Arabidopsis thaliana: one gene and its partners. The protein of the gene in region 2 purifies or fractionates together with the protein of the main gene of each other region. This does not show direct contact. Each region holds a gene or a part of one and is shown on either strand. Other genes may lie near its edges. The genes, in order: AT3G02860, AT2G23820 and VTC4.

Region 1 (7,362 bases), on a different chromosome or scaffold from region 2:
CTTATCCCGGAATCTCTCTGTTTTCGAACCTTTTACAATCAAAGCTGTCATGTTACCAATCAAGTAAGCTCCTAGAATCATATCGAATGAAATGTAGACCATCGCGAATATCATTTCCCGCATATTAACCGCGTGTATATCTCCATAACCTGCATTATAAGAAACATACCAAGTTAAGGAATGAAAGCAAACGATATATTCACCAAGTTTTCAGTTATCAGAACTTACCAACAGTTGCCATAGTAACAACTGCAAAGTACATAGAAGTAGTGTATCGAGTCCAGAGATCGATCTCTCTAAACTTCGAGTAACTGTAATCTCCTAACTTCAAGCTTCCAATCCAAGTGTACCCTTCTTGAGAAGCAGGAAGCGTCGTGGCCAAGTAATAGAAGATACAAGCTGCGGTGTGAGTGCAATAAAGCTCGACGAATATAAGCTTGACGATTCTTGTAAAAAGGTAATTGATTCTTATATCTTTCTCCATTTTGTGGAAAAACAGGATTACTCTATGAACTCGATATAGCCTTATCAACAATAGGTATCTCACTTCTTCTTTTTCGCCTGCAGCCTGTTTTCAAATTCACAGTTTCAAATTCTCCGTTTCCCGCAAAATCAAAAGAGTAAAAAGTGTATACCTTGTAGATGATATCCCATGGCATGCAAGCAAGTAAGTCAATTATAAAAGTTGATTTTAAGTACCTACAAAATTGACAAACACCATGAAGAGGTTAATCTCATTGAGTAGATAGCAAGAAAACAGAAACAGAGTAGAGTTTGAATACCGTAAAGCAATTGAGCTGCGTTTATAGATCATTCTATAAGTTCGGCTATCACGATAAGCAACGAAGAATGTCAAGACAATATCTACTAAGAAAGCGATTTGGCCAGCGATATCGAGGATGAACAGATTCTCTGGTAATCCCCTGAAGAATCCGAATTCCAATGGAGTGAAGAAGGAAGAATAAAGTGCCCATATCAATATAAACATCGTCCACGCCTTGTACCACCTGCAAATTCAAGAATCTTTAGATCCGGACAGAGTATTTAGTAGCTAAACTAAACTCACTACTTAGTCTACTTCTATTATTGCTCCAAACTTCAGCGAAACAGAGTTTTCTTCTTTAATCTGGTCTGACGTGTACAGACTCATGGTTGTTACATTTTTAACCAACGATCATTTGTAACCATTGAGAAACTGATACGTGTCATAAAGTGGCGGGAAATGAATGAATAACCGAAGAAAATGTTATTACACTAAAAAGGAAGGTTAAATCCACAATCAAGCCCCTAATGTTTTTGTTTGCACTACAATTGACCCCGAAAGTTGTTAAGCTAACAAATTTCCTTCAAAATTTCTCTAATAAAAGTAGTACGTAGCTTCAAAATATATAGGAAGATTGATTTCTATAAGATTTAGTCTCAGTATAAAGAAAAAAAGAAATTAATCAATACCTACCCTAAAATCCATATAACAAAGTAAGTGGACTAGAATAATACAAAATAAAACATAAGGCCTACTTATGAAACTATTAAAAGTTAAAGGACTCAGAAAACAAAATTCAAAAGCGTGACGAGAATTTATGGTGTACCGGTTATCGGGATGAACAATGGAGCCTCTGGAGATATCTCTGATTCCATTAATGACGGTGAACTTTCCACCGCTACCGCCGGCGAAGTCTAACCCTAAGAAATTGGTGAGAGGATTGAATCTGTTTCCTCGCGATTCTACAATCCCATCTCTGAAATCATCAACCTCGTAATCCTCTAATTCCACGTCTGATTCGCCGCCGCTACGATAAGAAACTCCGCCGCCGCTACTACCTCCCATTACACCTCCGAATCACGATACCAGATAATCGGATATTTGACGAAGAAGACAACCTCTCTGTTTTTCTCTCTCTTTCTCTTTCTCTCTCTTTCTCTCTTATTTCCTTTTTGTGATTTTCAGTTATATGCCTAAAATTGGCGCCTGTGTTTTCAAATTTCGAAACTTATCAGATAGAGAAAAAAATAGCAACTCAAGTTAATTCGATGAACAACACCATGGAATCGGCGAAATTTATACACAAATTTTCGGTTTTTTTTTGTTAGTGCTGTTGTTTATTTTTTACATTAAAAGTTCAAATTGTGATTCAAAAAGCCCATGCTATATTAATATTTTTATGGTCATAATAAAAGATAACGTAGTGTAAAAGAATAATAATATGTTTTAAAAAATAAGGTGAACCAGTGAGATATGGGTTTATTTTTAGAATGACCTATGAAGAGCACCATATAAATGATAAGAGAGTCTTTTATAACCACAAGATAAACAATAAGTCATTACGTGTTACGTACATGTGATAAGGTATCGTGATGTGATAAAGTTCGAGGAAGTCACTTTTTCGATCATTTTATTCGTAAATGTTTCTTTCTTTCTAATGCTAAACGATTTCTCCTTTATCACGTTTAAACATGCATAAGAGATTAGAGATCATAAGATTAAACACTTGTGATTGTGTGTGGTATTTTACAAGATATCGTTTGGTTATGTAGGTCGAAGCCGATGTGTGTGTGCGTGTGTGTGTTTTGTCACTCTTTTTTTCCTAAAATTCACATGAAGACGATGAATTCGAAAAATGGTATTTTATCTAAAACAAATTTGGAAAAACCAAGTTGGGATACAAGTGTTATGATGGATAGACTCTAAACTGAAATGTCCCTAAACTTTGATTCCCGTTGTGAAACACTTTACCATTAGAAAATTCACGTGACAATTTATATGATTAGTCAAGCTAGATAATGTTAAGGTATTATAGGAGATTGAGTGCATTCAGTTAGGTCAGAAGTAATTAGTTAACTAATTTTATGTTCTAATGGGATATTTGTTATATCATCGATTGTGCATTAACCGACCTTTGCTTTGGCTGTTCTCTCTCTCTTTGTTTTGTGGACTCCTTTTCAAGTTATAAACAAGATAACATAACCCTTTTTTTTTTGGTTATGCATATATCTTGATTTAAATATTTCAAATGTCAATGGTTTATAGTGGAAAGCCTAATGCATTTTTTTTATAAGTTATATAAGCATATGGTTGGTAATCACAAATAGTCCAAAAATTCACAAAAAAATATGAATATGTTTAGTTAGTGGTCTTCTTCCTTCTTCAATACTTGACCCCTAATTAGTTTCTCGACATATTTGACCCCTAATTGGTTTCTGGAATTGTCTCAATTATTTATTATTCCACATGTATTTGTTTAACAATAATAAGAGTTTTAACTTTAAAGATGATTGTTAAATTTACCACTTTCGTCATTATGTTTTGTGCCACCAAATGATCAATATCTGAAACATTCTCACTCAAAACTAGAATGATACGACCACCAGTCATAATCACTTTTTTTTTTTTAGTTTATCACCTGAAACTGGTCGGAACTGCCACAGTTTCAGGTTTCATCCCCAGATATTTCGGCCTTTTTGGCAACTCTGGTTATGAAAATTACGTTCTTGAATTATACCCATTAACCGATAACTATACCTCAAATACCAATTGATCCTCTGAAACTGATAATTGTATATATATGAGATTGATTAGTTTTCACTGTATATTCTCATAGAACATTGTATGTTTTACCAGGGTACAGATTTTTAAACAGTCTTTTCTAGTTTATTCAAAGATGTTGAGCTCTCCAATCAACAGCAGAATCCTCGTCATCCTCCTCATCGCTGGGCGATTCTTCTTCTGTCTTCTTCGGCTTTTTAACAGACCCCTCAGAGGTTTTACTGCGCTTCGCTAATCTTGCCGCTTTAAGTTCCATTTTCTTCCTCTTCAGAATCTCTACTTTCTCTTTGTATGATCTGCAGAATAAGATTAAAAGGAGAAGCCAAGTGTTTACTTAATCTTAAACAAGTCTCAACATTTCCATCTTCTTGCTATAACAAAGTAATGAATCAAATTACCTTTGCTCTCGTTGTTCCTCCTCTTCTATAGTTTCCGCAGCATCAACCTGACAATTAGAGTGCGAGAAAAGCGATTTTAAGTTTAAGAAAGAGCTTATGATACTGTCAGCAATTTATCATAGTGACAGAAAGTTATCTGACCTCTTCTTCTTCCATGCGGCTATCCACTACCTGCAAATCATCTTGTATCAACTTCTCAAATTCTTTATATTCATCCCTGTAAGAAGATCCATGTTTATATAAGTTCACGAAGAGAATTCTTAGGTACAAACCCATAAGATCATATGAACCATTCAAATTGAGAATGTAGGAAAGTAACTGGATCACAAGGTCCACAACAATGAGGTTTCACTTTGATTTTCTGCATCTGGAAAAGTAAAAGCAACAAAAAAAAAAAGAGAAGAAACTCACTTGATATCTGGTTTGACGAGCTTGATTCCATGGGCAAGCAGGTCAGCTTCTTTATTATCAAAAAAACCGGTTGGAAGGTTTCCATTCACCATTGGTTTTGTTTCTGGACCAGTGGTCTGTGTCTGACTCTGTTTAGGTTCACTGGTGGTTTTGGTATTTGAAGAATCAGTTTTCTGATTATCAAAGAATCCGGCTGGAAGAGGTCCCTTTGACTTATTTGTTTCAGATCCTATAGTGTGCTTTGATTGCTCTAAATTCTTGGATTTTGCTGGTTCTACTTCTGCTGCACATATATTTGATCAATAAGTTTTTTTTTTCGATTGACGAATGAAACTATCATCAATCTTTCAAAAAACCTAAGACTAGAGCCTTTAAGCATGGCATCCACATAACTAGCACCTAAACCAAAAGCCTTCTACTAAGAAAATTATTCGAAAAAGATAAGAACAAGAAGAGGAAAGTGCATTAGTCATTACCTCTAGCAGGCTCACGATTTTCGAAGAAATTTGGCGGAAGACCAGATGATGTCTGAGAATTGGATGATTTAGCCAAAGCTTCAATTTTCGTTGGCCGAGTTTCAGCAGGTTTGCTACCCCGTTGGACTCCCGCTGCACTAGCCTTGAGACTATCAATGGCCTGTCCAAACGTTACATTACGAAAGCTAAGTTAATAAGATTAAAGAACATAAAACAGAGAATCTAACGCATAAAATCATATAAGAGCATGAAATCTACCTATCTTCAATGTATGTAATTTATCAAATATCCCATTGTTGTTACTCAGGTTATAAGAGATTGTGAAGTAAAGCTTATGGAGCAGAAGACACTAAGTTTACCTCGTGGTGCTTACGAGAAGCTTGATGTACATCCCAGAGTGATTCAGATTTCAAGACGACATTGCAAACTCGACACACAGGCTGGTCTGATTCGTTGTACCTACAAATCCAAAGAACAAACTCTTCATCCCAACTACAGCTCAAGCCCAATCCCCAGAACCCACAAATATTTGGAATTGTAGAAACCCAGAAGTGACATCGAAACGAAGAGAAGAAGAAGCTAACAACGGTTTACCTAACGAGAGGAGAATCTATGCGGGTGTCTTTCTTCTTGGCGTTGAGTTTAGACCGGAACATGGCCTTCTTCTTCGCTTGAGCATCCATCACTCTCCTTCGTAGCAACCCACGCAACTCCCAAATTATCACAACCTCGCAAGGAATACGAAGATCTGAGAAATTTGTTCTATTCAAATCAAACCCTAAGTCCTTAGAGGAGGACAACAGTCACCGTGAGAATCAAAATTCCTCCCTCCGTTCTTCTCCGCAATCTCTTCTCTTTTACGGGTCGGGTCGATCCAACTCGGGATTAGACTTGAGACTTTCGGGATGCTTCTGGGTCGTTAGTCGTAACTGGGCCGGACTCATTATCCCCATTTTCCTCTGTTGTTAATTTAGTATGGATCACAAAATACCTTAAACTCCACCTTTTATAAAAAAAAAAAAAATGCAAACTCGATTACAAAGATCAACTACATGGAAGAACAGAATTATATCATTCAATACCAAACATATGATTTTTTTTTAATTGAATTCACAAAGGGTAGCAGAAAGAAAATAGTTTTTTTTTTTTCTCAACAATTGAGTTTGTTTTCTTTCTACCGAAAAGAAATATTCAATAATGTTAAGTTTTTGAATTGAGTTTGATCATATAAGGTTGAGACCATATTGTAAAATAATAACAGATGACTTCATGCCCCTGTAAGCCGCAACGCCTCAGCGAATAACTCCTTGAGAGAAGCGTTTGAAGCCGCGATCCTCTGCGATGTTATGTCCAAATCTTTACCGGATCTGATGAACAAAGACGACATAAAACAGTTAGTTATAATCAGTTGGACGGTTTGAGAGTGAGTGTGTTTGGTTTAATCTCAAACTCTTACGGATCAAAGATGAGTCCACCAGCTTCTTTCACGATAACAATTCCTGCTGCAATGTCCCTGTGAAAGATTTGATATTATTATGCCATCATCAGGATCTAATTTTGTTTGTACAAGAAAGAAATCCCCTTTTTTAATCCAAGCAAGGAAAAAAAAAAGAAGACAATTTACCATGGACCACCGAAACCGAGCTCGTAGAAGATATCAACCCTTCCACACGCAACGCCACAGAGGTCCAGTGCACACGAACCACTCATCCTAAGGGACCTGACCTGATGAATGAAGGACACAACAATCATGAGTTTTGGCAGAGACTAGAACCAAATTGGTGGAGTTCCAAATATCTATCGATAAACTTTTACCTTGGTTAGCAAACTGTTGATTCTGTTGGTTGTATCGTCTAATGTAGCTTTATCTCGTTTAGTACCCGCCTATATTCAATTGGTCACATTAGCGATGAGAGGAGGCTTCATAGCAATCTAGTTTTAGTAGTCTAACACAAAGGAGCCAGATTTTTACCTCTGTCACGAGCAAAGCGGTTAAAAGTTCGCTTTGAGCTGACACTGCAAAAAGAACATTGTTTGAGTTGAAAAGAAGGAAGAGAACTCAAGTCTCTGAACAAGTGATAGCTATACTCCGGATGCCATAAAAAGAGATCAAGAAATTTTTTATTAGGTCTCTAGAACAAGTGCTAACCTTTGATTCGCTTTCCATTCAAGAATGCTCCTTTCCCTTGGACACCGGTGAATAGCTGTTTGATCATTAGATATTATGTAAGAATTGAGAAAAATCTTGAAACATGCATGTACAGAGCACCATCAAGGAAACTATGTATAATGGTAAGTTGTAACGATCGAAGAAACTTGAAACAATGGAATACACAATCTTTTACCTCTTCCATAATAGGATTATAAACAACTCCAACAACAGGGACTTTTCCAATCGTAAGTCCAATGGAAACACACACGAAAGGGAACCTACAAAAAAAAAACAGCATTTGTTTTTGTTTTTGATGAAATGGGCAAATGAAACACACAGGTCATTCAAATGGGAATTGATCAATAATGATAATACCCGTGA
Region 2 (7,756 bases):
TCATGATTATTAAATAAATATTCATTATCTATAGATTGAATATAACTTGCAATGAAATAATTTCATAAAAAAAAGTAAGACTGACTAATTTTCTCATAATATATAGTTTATGACCATAACTGGTTTTTAGACTAAGTTAAGTAATTATGAGTTTGCAGCTAATTATATAAAATTTAATTTCAGTATAACTAAATAATTAATAAGAAAAAAAATTATAGCAATGTCTTAACAAATAAAAGAAGTTTTGTTTACCACATTTTTATTTTGAAATTTCTTAACTTTTGTAATTTTTATAAATCATTAAAAAAACTTTTATTTTCTTTCCTCAGTTGTGACCTTCTAAAAAATTAAAGACAGATTCTGTTTATGGTTATAAACTTACGATATATAATTTTATTTGTAAATTGTAATACACAACAAACAATCTTATTTGCAATATGCTGAAATTATGATTATTTTTTTGTATCTACAGTTTTTTTAGTTAAACAATTGTTTGAAAAGCATACCTTAGCCTAATATAAAACCATTAAACCTTTGAAAGATCAAATGGCTTTCACTTTCATATGAATATCTTATTTCTACTATGTCAAATAATTGAGTATTTCTTTTTCCTTTTGTTTTTACTTGCGTGAGCAAAATGTAAAGGCTTCCAAAGTCCAATTTGTTTTTGTTTACTCGTAATATTTGTCAACGTTTCTACTCGTATTTTATTTAATGAAATTCAAGTGACTAATATATACATATGCCACTGGAAAATTTGCAATTTGTTTTTATGCTTTTGGAGGCTGCGTTGATACCTAACCTACTTATTATAGAAAATAGACAATGGGAAGAATCAAATGACATGATCTTTTATTTAAAAACATATGTAGATCGTTTGAATCAGGCTGCATGCATTGCTACCTAAGTACCTAACCTACTTGCGTTGTTATTGTTGTTGTGTACTTGTGTTGTTTTTTATTTTTCTTGTTGGATTCCTTTGAAGCACTATTTTAAATTTGTAATATACATTATTATTGGATAACGATTTTTGGTATTTAAAACAATCTATCATAGATTTAAGTGAACTAGATTGTTTTAAATACCAAAAATCGTTATCCAATAATAATGCATATTAATTAGATTGTTTTATGATAATTTCTCAAATAATTTTTTATATTAATAAGATTTGAAATTTTGACAAAAAAATAAATAGATTTGAATAACTTGATTAAATTAAAAATGATAAATAGAAGATAATATTGTAAATATTAACATATGTAAATTAGGAGAATGGATTTAATACATTAAGTGTTACCTAAAAATTTAATCCATTCTCCTAATTTACATATGAAATATTTATATTCTTAGCATAAAAAAAAAGTCCGACTATATTTCAATTTAGATCATTGTTTGAGAAAAATTTCACTTTTTAGGTAAATGACCAATCACGTTACAACATATCAGTATCAAATCCACATAAGACATCCATGTGACACATTGCATATGCAAAGAGAAAACGAGACACCAAAATTTTGTACAAACAATAATCAGTCAATCCGAGGCTACTATATTAAAAAATTCAAAAAAAAAATTGTGATTTAATGATATTTTGAAAGTTTAAGTTTTTTCGTCCTAAATTTGAAAACTGACACATTTTTGATATTTTTACCTTTGATACATCCGTAGAAAAAATATTTACCTACTAAATATTTTCTTATATGTAGCTTATAAGTATAATTATGTGAATAACACTAACTAAAATAGATATTAGTTTATTTAAGTTTGAAAAAAATGTGACGGTTAGCTTCTCATAGCTTGAGTTTTGTGGAAACTTTACTTTATTATATTAAATATCATCATATCACATAATATGATAGTAACAAACTAATTAGTAATGTACCATCAACTTTTCTAGTAGTAAGTACTACTTTGAGGAATCTTGCACTCTGATGATATCAGGAATATGATCATAAACTTCAGAGCATCAACTCCTAGAAGAAACCGAGTGAGGTGGTCCAAATCAACAAACCTGAACACACAAGAACCTTGAATAAGACTTTCCAAATAAAAGTAGAAAAAAAAAACAGAGAATTAGAAATTCAAAAACCATACTCTTATTTTCTGGGACAAGGGTTTTTTTATACCCGAACAATTTACAAAGTGTATTTTCATACCAAAACAAATTTGAAGGATGAATTCATACCCAAACTCCAAAAACATTTGAATTTTATAGCTAAACTTTACATTTAGTGCTTAATTCAAAATCGTAAATAACGAGTATTAGTCAACTGTTACAGTTGCTGAGTCAAATGACATGTATTTGATGTTATACTTCAAAACGACATCGTGTTAAATGTTAGAATTAAAGTTATACAAAATTTTGTAAAAATCAGATATTGAAGCCACGACGTTTCACTCATTTAGGCAGCTTATTAACATTTGATCGACAACTATCATGAGTTCGAGACCTAATTTTTTTGTACAACTCTATAAAATTTTAATTCTAACACTTAAAACGATGTTGTTATAAACTCTTGACCAAACCTAGATATGAAAATACGTTTTTCCCCTGATTTGATGTTAGCCCCACGAAACTCATGACCCGAACCTAGATAGTTTGCTTGTCTTCAAGCAAACGCTGTCCAGATCAACCAAGTGAAGGGACTTATTTTCTTTTTTCCAATGATTCGGAATTCAAGACCCACTACACTATTGGGTCTTCATATAATAAAAGGCCCAATAAAAGTCTCCAGAGGAAACAAAACTAATCGAAACGACGAAACAGTTAAGGTAACAAAGTAAACAAACACGATTCCCAAAACACGAAGAAAGATAAAGCAAAGAAAAAAAAAGAAAGATGAAGAATGTGAATCGAGTCTTCTTCTGCAAATCACTATCTCTCGTCTTCCTCGTTCCTTCTTTCACTCGTTCTCATATCCGATTTACTTACTCCGCCGCCGGTGCTTCTTCTCCTAATCGAGCTATTCACTGCATGGCTTCCGATTCCCCTCAATCCGGAGATGGTTCCGTCTCTTCTCCTCCTAATGTCGCGGCTGTTCCCTCTTCTTCTTCTTCTTCGTCCGCTTCTTCCGCCATTGATTTCCTCTCTCTCTGTACTCGTCTCAAGGTAAGCTTTGATTGATCCGCCTTACATTTTCGCTAAGATCCGGTGGTTTTGTGTGATTATACAACGCAATGTTGGTTAGATGATGCGATTGTTCTTGTTGATGGATTGTGTGGAAATCTGATTTCGTTAGGGAAATGAAACGATTTCAAGCTATGTAGTTACTTTTGATGTTCTTGTTGATGGATTGTATTGGAATCTGTAAATTCGTTTGTGCAATGAAACGATTTCAAGCTTTGTTGTTACTGTGTAGATGTGAAGTTTTTATGTGAATCTGGTTAGTTTTCGCGGTGGTTTCTGTCAATGAACTATTTCTACTCGTAACTTTTGTCTATGGAACCTAGAATTTGATACAGATGTTGGTTTGAAACCTCTAACGCATTGTTTAGATTTATGTGGATGTTTTTTACCAATGTAAGATTGGATCTGTGTTAAGAATGGAGATTATTCTGGTGATGGATTGTAGAAACTCAATGCATTGTAACTGTTTATATAAGATCATTTGTTTTTTAGATTTGTGTGGATGTTTGTTATCAATGTTATGATGGATCTGTGTGGAGATAGCTTGAAACGTTTCGTGCTTAATGGATTGTATTGGAATGTATAGTGGATTGTTACGGAAATGAAACATTGTCAAGCTTGGCTGCATCTGTTGACGGATTGTAGAATTCGTTTAGGGGAATGAAATGATTTCAAGTTTATGTGATTAATGGTCTGTGATTACTAAATCCTTGAAGATGTGAAGTTTGTCATGTGTTTTACTTTTTTGTGAATCAAGTGAGTTTTTGTTTGCTGATTTAACGATAGAGTTTGTGTGCTGTATCGTTTGGTAAACCATCTTTTTATATCAAATAGACAACTCCAAGAGCTGGATGGATTAAGAGAGATGTGAAAGATCCAGAATCTATAGCGGATCACATGTATCGGATGGGTCTTATGGCTCTAATTTCTTCAGATATCCCCGGTGTTAACAGAGACAAGTAAGTTTCTTGCTTGCTTCTCTCTTTTCAAGTTTCAACTGCTGTGAAAAAACTCTTCTTATATACATACTTTTCTTTCTATAGATGCATGAAAATGGCGATTGTTCATGATATTGCAGAAGGTTAGTTCTTTCACTTTTAGAGATTTTTAATCATCGATTTTCTTAATCACGAGTTATTTAGTCGAGTTGTTGTTGAGCAGCCATTGTAGGAGACATTACACCTTCTTGTGGGATATCTAAAGAAGAGAAAAACCGAAGAGAAAGCGAAGCACTTGAGCACATGTGCAAACTCTTGGGTGGAGGCGAAAGAGGTCTGTTTCTCTTCTATTGTTGAAATACCTTATGTATCTTCGTTCGACCTTCTTATGCTCATTTGTATAACACTTATCATCACTTCTAAAAATGTATATATCGTAATTGCAGCAAAAGAAATCGCTGAGCTTTGGAGAGAATACGAAGAGAACTCTTCACCTGAAGCCAAAGTTGTTAAAGATTTCGATAAAGTTGAGCTGATACTACAAGCTTTGGAATATGAACAAGGTAATGAATGACCAATAAAAGAAACTCTCTTTCGATAAGAGATTTAGCAGAAACTAATACTCATATTGTTTTTTGTTTGCTATTTAACGCAGATCAAGGGAAAGATCTAGAAGAGTTTTTCCAATCAACAGCAGGTAATTTTTGTTGTATGTCATTATACTCTAAATAGATAATCTGAATATGGTTGAAGGCTTTAAGCTTGTTACTGTTTGATTCAGGGAAGTTCCAGACTAATATAGGCAAGGCTTGGGCGTCGGAGATTGTTTCAAGAAGACGAAAGCAACATTAGTTCTCACTTGACTCTTTCTTTTTGTTTCTTAACGTCTAGCTCAGTGGAGTTCAAATACTCGTACGTTTCAAATTTAATCATCTTAAGGTTTTTCTAATAATCTTCGTAGCTGTCTTTACTTGTTTTGTTACTATCACTAATAAAAGATAGCTAGCTAGTGACTATCTTATAGATAGCTAATGAAGATCAAAAAACTTAATCAAGCTCTTAAATTTTATTTTAAGAAAGTATCATTGGTTCCTCAATATAAATTTTCGGATCGTTAATAGAGGTCAAATGATTTTTCTTTGTTTTGTTTTGTTTCAAGATTTTGCACGGGTTAAAAGTTGAATAAGAATAACGAATAGAGTATAGACACTTCATAAAGTGTAGTTTCCCTGCCACACTTAGATCTCCTACTAACCTCACTTAGATTAGATTTCTCTCTAGTCTAAAAGTCTTTAAACCTTTTACCATTGGGTTTCACAAAATTAACATTAGTAGTTATGTCTTTTCTTTTTAAAAACATATTTTAGAATAAACCATATCTCCAACCGAAAACTCCAAACTCTCTCCGACGCTTATCCGCATAGTTCTTTTGTCGATTTTGAGCTTCTTTTATCTTAACCTTTAAGATTTTGATTTTTTCCGATGTTCATGTTATTAACCACAAGTCTACAATTAAATTATTATATTTTTTTAAAAATGATTCTTGCGCGAGAAGCTACTTAGTGGACTCGGAAGGAGAAGGGAAATTGGTAGAGGTTTTAATTTGCAAAACTTATAATAATATAATAGTAGTAGTCGTAACAAATGGTTTAGCTGATTATTCAACATGGAACTTTTCAAAGAATGTTTCAGTTTTAGTTGAACAGACAATTTTTACCCTTGTCGTAACAAGACAAATAACGATTTTTCCGACTCTCTTCATTCGATCTCTCTCCCTCTCCCTCTCTCGATCGGAAAAGTTTGAATCTCCGGCGATCTTCTCAAGATGAGTAACAACGAGCTTCTCGAAATCGAGCCTATGTATCTTCAATTCCCTTGTAAGTTTTTTTTTTGACTTTTTCTTGTTTTCCCTGATTTTGCATGTCTTTCTTGTCCATAACCAGATTTTGTTGAGTTATGGTTTACTATTAAATTTCGCTATTCACTTGGCTGAGTTGATGTAGTTGAATTGAAGAAGCAGATGTCTTGCTCTCTTTACTTGACGAACAAGACAGACAATAACGTGGCCTTTAAGGTAAAACAAAGTTTTCCGAGTCATTAAATTGTCGTGATTATCTCGTGTTTCTAAGGTTTCTCGTGATTCTCTTTATTTTATTTGAGGTTAAGACGACAAATCGGAACAACTATTGCGTTAGGCCTAATTATGGACTTATTCTTCCAAAGTCGACTTGTAAAGTTCTTGGTCCGTTCTCTAATCGTTTTCTTGGGGAAACTTTTTTTCCCCCTTCAACTGCCAAACTTGTTCTTGGACTAGGAATTTGATGAATCTTTATTTGTTGTTTGTCTAGTGACCATGCAAGCTCAAAAGGAAGTTCCTTCTGATATGCAGAGCTTTGAAAAGTTTATGATTCAAAGTGTACTGGCTAGTCCTGGAGTCACAGCCAAAGAAGTTACTCGTGAGATGGTACTGATTCACATTGTTGATTTGATGAATAATTCACACTTTGGCTTTTGGTTCCTTAAAGCATTTGTTTCGTTTTTTTCTGATGAGCAACTTTGCAGTTTAGCAAAGAATCAGGGCATGTAGTTGAGGAGACTAAACTGAGAGTTACTTATGTTTGCTCCACCACGACCAACATCACTAGTTCACCAAGGACTAGAAGAGGGTTTATATTTCAGTGTTTTTGTTAGACATTTTCTCTTTACTTCATTGACGATATTCATCACCAGTAACACTCTTAGCGATGTCTCTTGCTATGGCGTTTGGAGCTGCTTGCCACGAGCTCGTAATAGCGGCTGGTAAAACTCGATTGATTCTGTACAGTAATTTGTTTGTAAAATAATTATGAGACCCAGTTTACTTTGTATATAATGCACTAAAATCTAAACATCACTGACCATCTATATAATCATATCCTTATAGCTCAAACCTTTGAAATTCAAATAAAATAACACATATCTTAGATAGGCGTGGGCATTCGGGTACCCGTTCGGGTTCGGTTCTTTTTTTCCGGGTATCGGGTCTATTCGGGTAAGAGGTTGAGAACCATTCGGGTATTCTAAAAATTCAGTTCGGTTTCGGTTCGGTTTCGGGTCGGTTCGGTTATTTTAGTAAAAATGTAAAAATAACCAAAAATACCCAAAATATTTTTGGGTTCGGGTTGGATTCGGGTTTTTTACTCATATATACCCAAATCTACCCGAAATACCCGATTGCCCGTAAATATATTTGTTACTTTTTATACAAATATAACCAAATGTAAACAAAATACTTAAATTACCTAAAAGAAAACTATAACATTTGTTACTTTTATCCCAAATATATCCAAATGTATATGAATTACTAAAAGAATCTAGTATAATCGGATTTATAATTTTAATTTTGGGTGTTTGAGGTATTACAAATATATATATAACTAATATATTTAGGTTACATTTGTATTCGGGTACCCACGGGTATTAGATTCGGTTCGGGTTCGGTTCGAGTTTTTTCGGGTAGTGAAGTCGAGGACCCATTCAGGTTATTCTAAAAATCGGATTCAGATTCGGTTTGGTTATTTTTCGGGTTTTTCGGTTCGGATATTCGGTTCCGGGTATTATGCCCATGCCTATATCTTACCATCGGATAATTCTTTATTTATTTATTTTTATTTATTTTTTTTTTATCACAAAGAGGTGTCCATATTATTCA
Region 3 (7,577 bases), on a different chromosome or scaffold from region 2:
GTAGAAACCCAGAAGTGACATCGAAACGAAGAGAAGAAGAAGCTAACAACGGTTTACCTAACGAGAGGAGAATCTATGCGGGTGTCTTTCTTCTTGGCGTTGAGTTTAGACCGGAACATGGCCTTCTTCTTCGCTTGAGCATCCATCACTCTCCTTCGTAGCAACCCACGCAACTCCCAAATTATCACAACCTCGCAAGGAATACGAAGATCTGAGAAATTTGTTCTATTCAAATCAAACCCTAAGTCCTTAGAGGAGGACAACAGTCACCGTGAGAATCAAAATTCCTCCCTCCGTTCTTCTCCGCAATCTCTTCTCTTTTACGGGTCGGGTCGATCCAACTCGGGATTAGACTTGAGACTTTCGGGATGCTTCTGGGTCGTTAGTCGTAACTGGGCCGGACTCATTATCCCCATTTTCCTCTGTTGTTAATTTAGTATGGATCACAAAATACCTTAAACTCCACCTTTTATAAAAAAAAAAAAAATGCAAACTCGATTACAAAGATCAACTACATGGAAGAACAGAATTATATCATTCAATACCAAACATATGATTTTTTTTTAATTGAATTCACAAAGGGTAGCAGAAAGAAAATAGTTTTTTTTTTTTCTCAACAATTGAGTTTGTTTTCTTTCTACCGAAAAGAAATATTCAATAATGTTAAGTTTTTGAATTGAGTTTGATCATATAAGGTTGAGACCATATTGTAAAATAATAACAGATGACTTCATGCCCCTGTAAGCCGCAACGCCTCAGCGAATAACTCCTTGAGAGAAGCGTTTGAAGCCGCGATCCTCTGCGATGTTATGTCCAAATCTTTACCGGATCTGATGAACAAAGACGACATAAAACAGTTAGTTATAATCAGTTGGACGGTTTGAGAGTGAGTGTGTTTGGTTTAATCTCAAACTCTTACGGATCAAAGATGAGTCCACCAGCTTCTTTCACGATAACAATTCCTGCTGCAATGTCCCTGTGAAAGATTTGATATTATTATGCCATCATCAGGATCTAATTTTGTTTGTACAAGAAAGAAATCCCCTTTTTTAATCCAAGCAAGGAAAAAAAAAAGAAGACAATTTACCATGGACCACCGAAACCGAGCTCGTAGAAGATATCAACCCTTCCACACGCAACGCCACAGAGGTCCAGTGCACACGAACCACTCATCCTAAGGGACCTGACCTGATGAATGAAGGACACAACAATCATGAGTTTTGGCAGAGACTAGAACCAAATTGGTGGAGTTCCAAATATCTATCGATAAACTTTTACCTTGGTTAGCAAACTGTTGATTCTGTTGGTTGTATCGTCTAATGTAGCTTTATCTCGTTTAGTACCCGCCTATATTCAATTGGTCACATTAGCGATGAGAGGAGGCTTCATAGCAATCTAGTTTTAGTAGTCTAACACAAAGGAGCCAGATTTTTACCTCTGTCACGAGCAAAGCGGTTAAAAGTTCGCTTTGAGCTGACACTGCAAAAAGAACATTGTTTGAGTTGAAAAGAAGGAAGAGAACTCAAGTCTCTGAACAAGTGATAGCTATACTCCGGATGCCATAAAAAGAGATCAAGAAATTTTTTATTAGGTCTCTAGAACAAGTGCTAACCTTTGATTCGCTTTCCATTCAAGAATGCTCCTTTCCCTTGGACACCGGTGAATAGCTGTTTGATCATTAGATATTATGTAAGAATTGAGAAAAATCTTGAAACATGCATGTACAGAGCACCATCAAGGAAACTATGTATAATGGTAAGTTGTAACGATCGAAGAAACTTGAAACAATGGAATACACAATCTTTTACCTCTTCCATAATAGGATTATAAACAACTCCAACAACAGGGACTTTTCCAATCGTAAGTCCAATGGAAACACACACGAAAGGGAACCTACAAAAAAAAAACAGCATTTGTTTTTGTTTTTGATGAAATGGGCAAATGAAACACACAGGTCATTCAAATGGGAATTGATCAATAATGATAATACCCGTGAACGAAATTGGTTGTTCCATCAAGAGGATCAACAATCCAAGTTGGTTCGTCAGTTAGTTCTGTCACACCAAATGCAGCTGTAGTTTCTTCTCCTATGAACTAATAAATTATAGCAAAACTCTAATGATCAACGCGAGGAAGAAGCCAACAAAATGGGAATTCAAAAGAAGAAATAATCACCACCTTGTGATTGGGAAAGAGCTGCTTGAGATGATTAAACACAAGTTCTTCACATCCTTTATCAGTCTCTGTCACCAAATCCACCTAAAAGCAACAATTTAAGGAGCCATAGAAGATAATTTCAAAAAAAAAATTGACACTCTTAAGTAGCCATTCCCACTTATTGAGTGATTGAAACATTATCTGAGCGGAGGAAAGAAACAAAAACCTGGCCTTTGTGTTCAACATGTTTAGTCTCGTAAAACCCTTTACGAATGATCTGCAGAACGCAAACCAAAAGGAGCCAGATTAAATAACGATTAGCCAAAATATCGATCAAAACTCAAGGAGATCGAAAGATAGACCTGTCCAGCTTTTTTAGCGGCATCAATGGCGGCAGCCAAAAACTGATCTAGAGAATCTGCGTCAAATCAATGTCGCCCGAAAGAAAATGAGGAAACAGGGAAATCAAATAAGGTTTGCAGAGATTGATCGTGACTTTACCATTGTCCGCCATTTTCGAGAGAAGACGAAAAGAGTGATGCTTTCTTTACTTTGGGATGTGTTTCAGAGAAAACCAAAAGTTACGGTTTTTGTGGTTAGGCACAGAGCGAATATTCGAGGCATCTAATCTTATACTGTATTATATTAATTACCCAATTAGGCATCCGAAATCACCCAATAATCACGGTCCGATATGGGAAATAAGAGGATTTCAGAAAATCCGTTATACAAAAAGCTAACCAATGATCATTTGAAGATTAGATTTCACCTCAATTTTATCATCCAACTTTCTCTTGACAAAACCCGCATTCTGTAATCAGTTCTCTTTTCCGGGTCGGACAGACCCGAGTCGGGTTTGGACTTGAGACTATTGGACTGGACTCCTTATTCTGAATATGGGCCGGAATTCTTTTTTTTTAGAACAAGTGCATAACACGGAAGGAAAAAGATGTTCTAATTTATTCTGAATATGGGGCCGGAATGATATTGGTGCATACTTGTCTTTCTCTGGCTGGTTCACTTACATTGATGAGAAAAATGCGAAGAACACTTTGAAATCGGTTTGTGATCAAGAGACAAAGGAACAATCGTCTACTGCTTCTGCCGTTGTGTGGACAAGAAAAACTCATTCAACACCAAAATTATGTTGTTTTATTTTTCCGATATTTTACATTTTGTCTTATAAATCTCATGATATAACAGTAGCCCCTTTCTGAGAAGAGATTTGTTTTGCATACTTGTGTAATTTACATTTAAAAAAAACACAGATCAACAGAAGAACAGAACTAAACACTAACACTCTAAACGAGACCACCTCTCCAACACGAGACATCAAACGCCACACATACACAATCTCTGCAACCTAAGAACAGAACTAAACACTAACACTCTACAATCTACTTGTTCATTCTTGAGAAATCAAAAGTCTCTATTCACCTTCTTCTTCTTTCTTCTTCTTCGAGAGAAACGAAAATCAACAATCTTTTTCATCTATTTCTCTTTGGAGAAGAGAAGCAAAGCATAGAAATGTCCATCACTTTATATTATTTGTTGTATTCTCCATTCATAGGCAAAGAGAGAGAGAAAGATGTCTTCATCATAGCTAAGCTTTTGGTTGCCTTAGAGATAGTCTCGACCTTTCTCTCGTTCCAAGACAGCGATGACGCTCTCTGCTGCTCTCGGCGGAAGATACAGCCAGTCCCAACGTACATGGACTTTGAAGTAGGTACTAACATGAACGTAGACAGTGTTGTGGTTAGTATACTTTTGAGGATCGGATCATCAACCTTATCAGTTGATTCTTCAACTTAATTAAACTCATTATATAAAAAACAAAATATTTATGTGACCGTTAAGAACTTAATTGTGAAAGAAGAGGAAATAACAGAGAAAAAAGGGAATTGTAATGTGACCGTTAATTGTGATTAGCAATATCCCTTTTTCTCTCAAATAATAATTGGGGCATTTGCAAATCTTACACTTGACTTCCTTGAAAAGAAAGCCTCTGTTGCGTAATTACAATTTGCATTTTGGTTGTATGTTTGTGATTGTTTCATAGGTCTATTCCACAACTTTTTACCTTTTTTATTTTTTTACTCTCCACAACTTTGTACCTATAACTAAATAATATAAAGTCACAATTTTGTACGGATATTCTGATGTTTCATTAGTCATTTACATTTTTATTGATTATGTTCGCATGTACAGCTACTTTCGTAAACAGCTTCTTTTGTACGAATTGTTCTAGAGAATTTTCGATCATAATCAAAATATAAACAAAATGTTTAACAATGCGCTTCAAATAGGTGGGCCTTTGTTATAAGTAATTTAAAAGTCGAAGAACCCAATGGCCTATATGTCAATCAAATACATGGGCCTATGTTATAAGGAATTAAAAATTTAAGAACCTTAAAGGCCTACATGTGATTCTCACAACTCTAATTCATGCCATGTTTTATTTTAAAAGTGTTAATTTTCATTAACATAAATGGTAAAATCGTGTATTAAACGTACTAATTCATTTCAAGTAAATATTCCTTTTATACCGTAAATATACTACATTGTATCATTTTCATATTTTATCTTTGGTATTTCATTATTTTCTTCACATTACAACCATAAATTATGAATTTCACATTAGAGGCGTATACGTATTTAAAAACGATTAAAAGAGTTTCCAAAAACGTGTGTAAATTACGTACTATATAAATATTAAAAATGGATCGGTGATCCAACTCCTTCTCCTTCATCATCATCGTATTCACCGTTGTCCTTTCTTTCATTGACACTTGCCAGTTTACATCGACAAACAAAAGAAATCAGAATGGATTTCTCAGGGAGCTTCTTTGTCATCTTCGTTACCTTCTTCTTTCTCCCTCCTCTGTCTTCAGCTGGGAGCTACGATTCTGGTTCGGGTCTCGAGTCACTCGCTCGCGGGATGCTTCATTCAGCCAAGGATCCTGAGTTCTTCGAGTGGATGAGAGGAATTAGGAGAAAGATTCATGAGAACCCAGAGACAGGGTTTCAGGAGTTCAAAACGAGTCAACTCGTTCGAGACGAGCTTGACTCGCTTGGAGTGAAGTATAAGTATCCTGTGGCGAAGACTGGCGTCGTCGCTTGGATCGGATCCTGTTCGAAACCTGTTTTCGGACTTAGAGCCGACATGGACGCACTTCCGTTACAGGTTTGAAATCTAATAATCAAAGTTCCGATTTTTACTCTGATTTTTAGATTGCTTTGTTTGACTAATGAATTTGAAAAAATGGGGACAAAAAAAGGAATTAGTGGAATGGGAATCGAAAAGTAAAGTAGATGGAAAGATGCATGCTTGTGGTCATGATACTCATGTTGCTATGCTTCTTGGTGCTGCTAAGCTTCTTCAAACCACAAAACACCTCATCAAGGTCTCTCTTTTTTCTCTTTCACTCAATTTATATGTATAATTTTGAATGATTCTGTCTGTGCCCTGCAATTAAAACTCATTTCGATGTGGGTTAGTGTTTTCTAAGATTCTTAGATATATGTGTGTGTATGTCTTTGATTGCTAATTGTTATGTGTGTGTGTTTTCTAGAGTTGTTAGTGTGTGTGTCTTATGAGAGTTTGGTGAATCTTATGAGGGTTTTGAACGAAAACACAATTTTTTTGCAACAGGGGACAGTAAAACTTGTGTTTCAACCAGGCGAGGAAGGTTATGCAGGTGCTTATGAAATGCTAAAAGACGAGATTCTAGACGACTTAGATGGGATACTCAGTGTTCATGTCTTTCCATCGATCCCATCAGGTGGTATTGGTTCTAGGCCTGGGACCGTTCTTGCAGGTGCAGGATTGTTTACAGTCACGGTTCACGGTCAAGGTAGCCACGCAGCTACACCGCACTTCTCTAAAGACCCGGTTCTTGCAGCTTCTTCCGCTGTTGTTGCCTTGCAACAGATTGTTTCGCGGGAACTGGATCCACTCGAAGCTGGTGTAAGTTTGCTTTCCACTTTCAAAGCATTGGTGTTTGATGAATCAGAATCTTGGCTGAAATCAGCGGAGATTGGTTTTTTTATGTTTCTCAGGTGGTTACAGTTGGATATATTGAAGGAGGTCATGCTCAAAACGTAATACCGCAGAGTGCGAAATTTGGAGGTACTTTCAGAAGCTTAAGCAACGATGGGCTTCTATTTATCCAAAGACGGATCAAAGAGGTAAAGAGATTGTTTTTTACACCATTTTTCTATACAATCTTGTTCTACTATTCGAATAATGTAGGTCCCTAACCCTGTTTAAATGTTTCTTGATGATGATGCAGATTTCAGAGGCACAAGCATCGGTATACCGATGCAAAGCAGAAGTAAACTTCGAAGAGAAAAAGCCGTCGCTTCACCCGGTAATGAATAACGACGAGGGCTTATACGAGCACGGTAAAAAAGTAGCGGAAGCGATGATTGGAAAGAATAACTTCCATGATTTCCCGGTGACAATGGGAGGAGAGGATTTCAGCTTCTTCACTCAAAAGACTAAGGCTGCGATTTTCGTGCTGGGGGTAAAGAATGAGACGCTAGGCGCTGGTAAGCCGCTTCACTCGCCTTACTTCTTTGTTGATGAAGAAGCTCTTCCTGTTGGGGCTGCTCTTCACGCAGCTATGGCCGTTTCTTATTTGGACGAACATGGTCATAGCCATGAAGAAGAGGTTAAGAGTGAATTATAGAAGGTGTTGGGAGAAAATCAGCTTATATTAGTCATCATCTATTTGTATTTGAACTTGAAAGTTAGGTGAGGTTAGGTTTCGGGTTGGGAAGAATGTTTGTTAATAGTCACGAGAAACCAACCACTTCTATTAAAATAAATTTGATGTAAGAGTTTTAAAAATTGAACAATTGAAATCTTCAAAATGAATACCACTTCTTAAGTTCTCTGTTGACCATTTCTATTACCTTCCTTTCAAATTGATACAACAAATACATAAAAAAAAAAAAAAAATGTCTATGGTACAAACTTATATCAGAAATAAAAACGGTGTCGGAGAGGCTAATCTTTGTTTGTCAACGGTAGCTCAGACACATTTGACAGACCTGGCATGTCTTTGGTCACACTCAACCTGCAAAAAAAAAAAACATAAAAGAAACAAAACGATAACGACCATTAATTTTTTAATTAGACCTAATTTATTGATCTAATACAAAAGAAAGGAAAAACAGAGGTCGTTTAAACGTCTACAAAAAACATTACTGCAGTGATTTATTGTCATTTATGTAACGCAAATATAGTTGACTCTGATAAAATTGTTACAACTAGTATTCATAAGTCATAACCTTATAATTAATTAATTATCTTTCTGTAAATTAGCTGTCAAATTAAATACATAAGATTCTCTTTTAACTTTTTTGTCAAAAAGGAAATATTCCAATTAGTAACTTTTCTTTTTTTCCTTTTTCTC

Evidence for each region.
Region 1: the proteins of AT2G23820 (region 2) and AT3G02860 fractionate together in Arabidopsis thaliana (co-fractionation; one large-scale study listed by BioGRID). This does not show direct contact.
Region 3: the proteins of AT2G23820 (region 2) and VTC4 fractionate together in Arabidopsis thaliana (co-fractionation; one large-scale study listed by BioGRID). This does not show direct contact.

The regions. Positions count from the first base shown.
Region 1 is NC_003074.8:621,646-629,007, forward strand, and holds AT3G02860 (zinc ion binding protein), read right to left. Parts: upstream 5,723-7,362; 5' UTR 5,513-5,722; coding exon 5,424-5,512; intron 5,289-5,423; coding exon 5,189-5,288; intron 4,990-5,188; coding exon 4,830-4,989; intron 4,637-4,829; coding exon 4,354-4,636; intron 4,160-4,353; coding exon 4,084-4,159; intron 3,990-4,083; coding exon 3,943-3,989; intron 3,841-3,942; coding exon 3,654-3,840; 3' UTR 3,518-3,653; downstream 1-3,517. Other genes in the region: SKOR (STELAR K+ outward rectifier), read right to left, coding at 1-149, 229-568, 636-699, 783-1,007, 1,590-1,828; VTC4 (Inositol monophosphatase family protein), read right to left, coding at 6,097-6,196, 6,286-6,342, 6,454-6,554, 6,645-6,713, 6,802-6,845, 6,979-7,033, 7,175-7,259, 7,357-7,362. UniProt on the Arabidopsis thaliana protein: Essential for breaking seed dormancy before seed germination. Prevents reactive oxygen species (ROS) accumulation in response to abscisic acid (ABA) and oxidative stress, probably by repressing the accumulation of ABA-induced ROS-scavenging enzymes (e.g.
Region 2 is NC_003071.7:10,137,756-10,145,511, forward strand, and holds AT2G23820 (Metal-dependent phosphohydrolase), read left to right. Parts: upstream 1-2,627; 5' UTR 2,628-2,839; coding exon 2,840-3,109; intron 3,110-3,961; coding exon 3,962-4,086; intron 4,087-4,170; coding exon 4,171-4,208; intron 4,209-4,288; coding exon 4,289-4,399; intron 4,400-4,511; coding exon 4,512-4,628; intron 4,629-4,720; coding exon 4,721-4,762; coding exon of another isoform or gene 4,763-4,797; exon of another isoform or gene 4,798-4,846; coding exon 4,847-4,917; 3' UTR 4,918-5,183; downstream 5,184-7,756. Other genes in the region: AT2G23830 (PapD-like superfamily protein), read left to right, coding at 5,891-5,942, 6,069-6,139, 6,226-6,307, 6,414-6,529, 6,628-6,756.
Region 3 is NC_003074.8:627,012-634,588, forward strand, and holds VTC4 (Inositol monophosphatase family protein), read right to left. Parts: upstream 2,915-7,577; 5' UTR 2,672-2,914; coding exon 2,659-2,671; intron 2,576-2,658; coding exon 2,520-2,575; intron 2,435-2,519; coding exon 2,384-2,434; intron 2,260-2,383; coding exon 2,179-2,259; intron 2,095-2,178; coding exon 1,991-2,094; intron 1,894-1,990; coding exon 1,809-1,893; intron 1,668-1,808; coding exon 1,613-1,667; intron 1,480-1,612; coding exon 1,436-1,479; intron 1,348-1,435; coding exon 1,279-1,347; intron 1,189-1,278; coding exon 1,088-1,188; intron 977-1,087; coding exon 920-976; intron 831-919; coding exon 731-830; 3' UTR 501-730; downstream 1-500. Other genes in the region: AT3G02860 (zinc ion binding protein), read right to left, coding at 58-146; ILR1 (Peptidase M20/M25/M40 family protein), read left to right, coding at 4,982-5,341, 5,436-5,561, 5,810-6,124, 6,217-6,345, 6,450-6,848.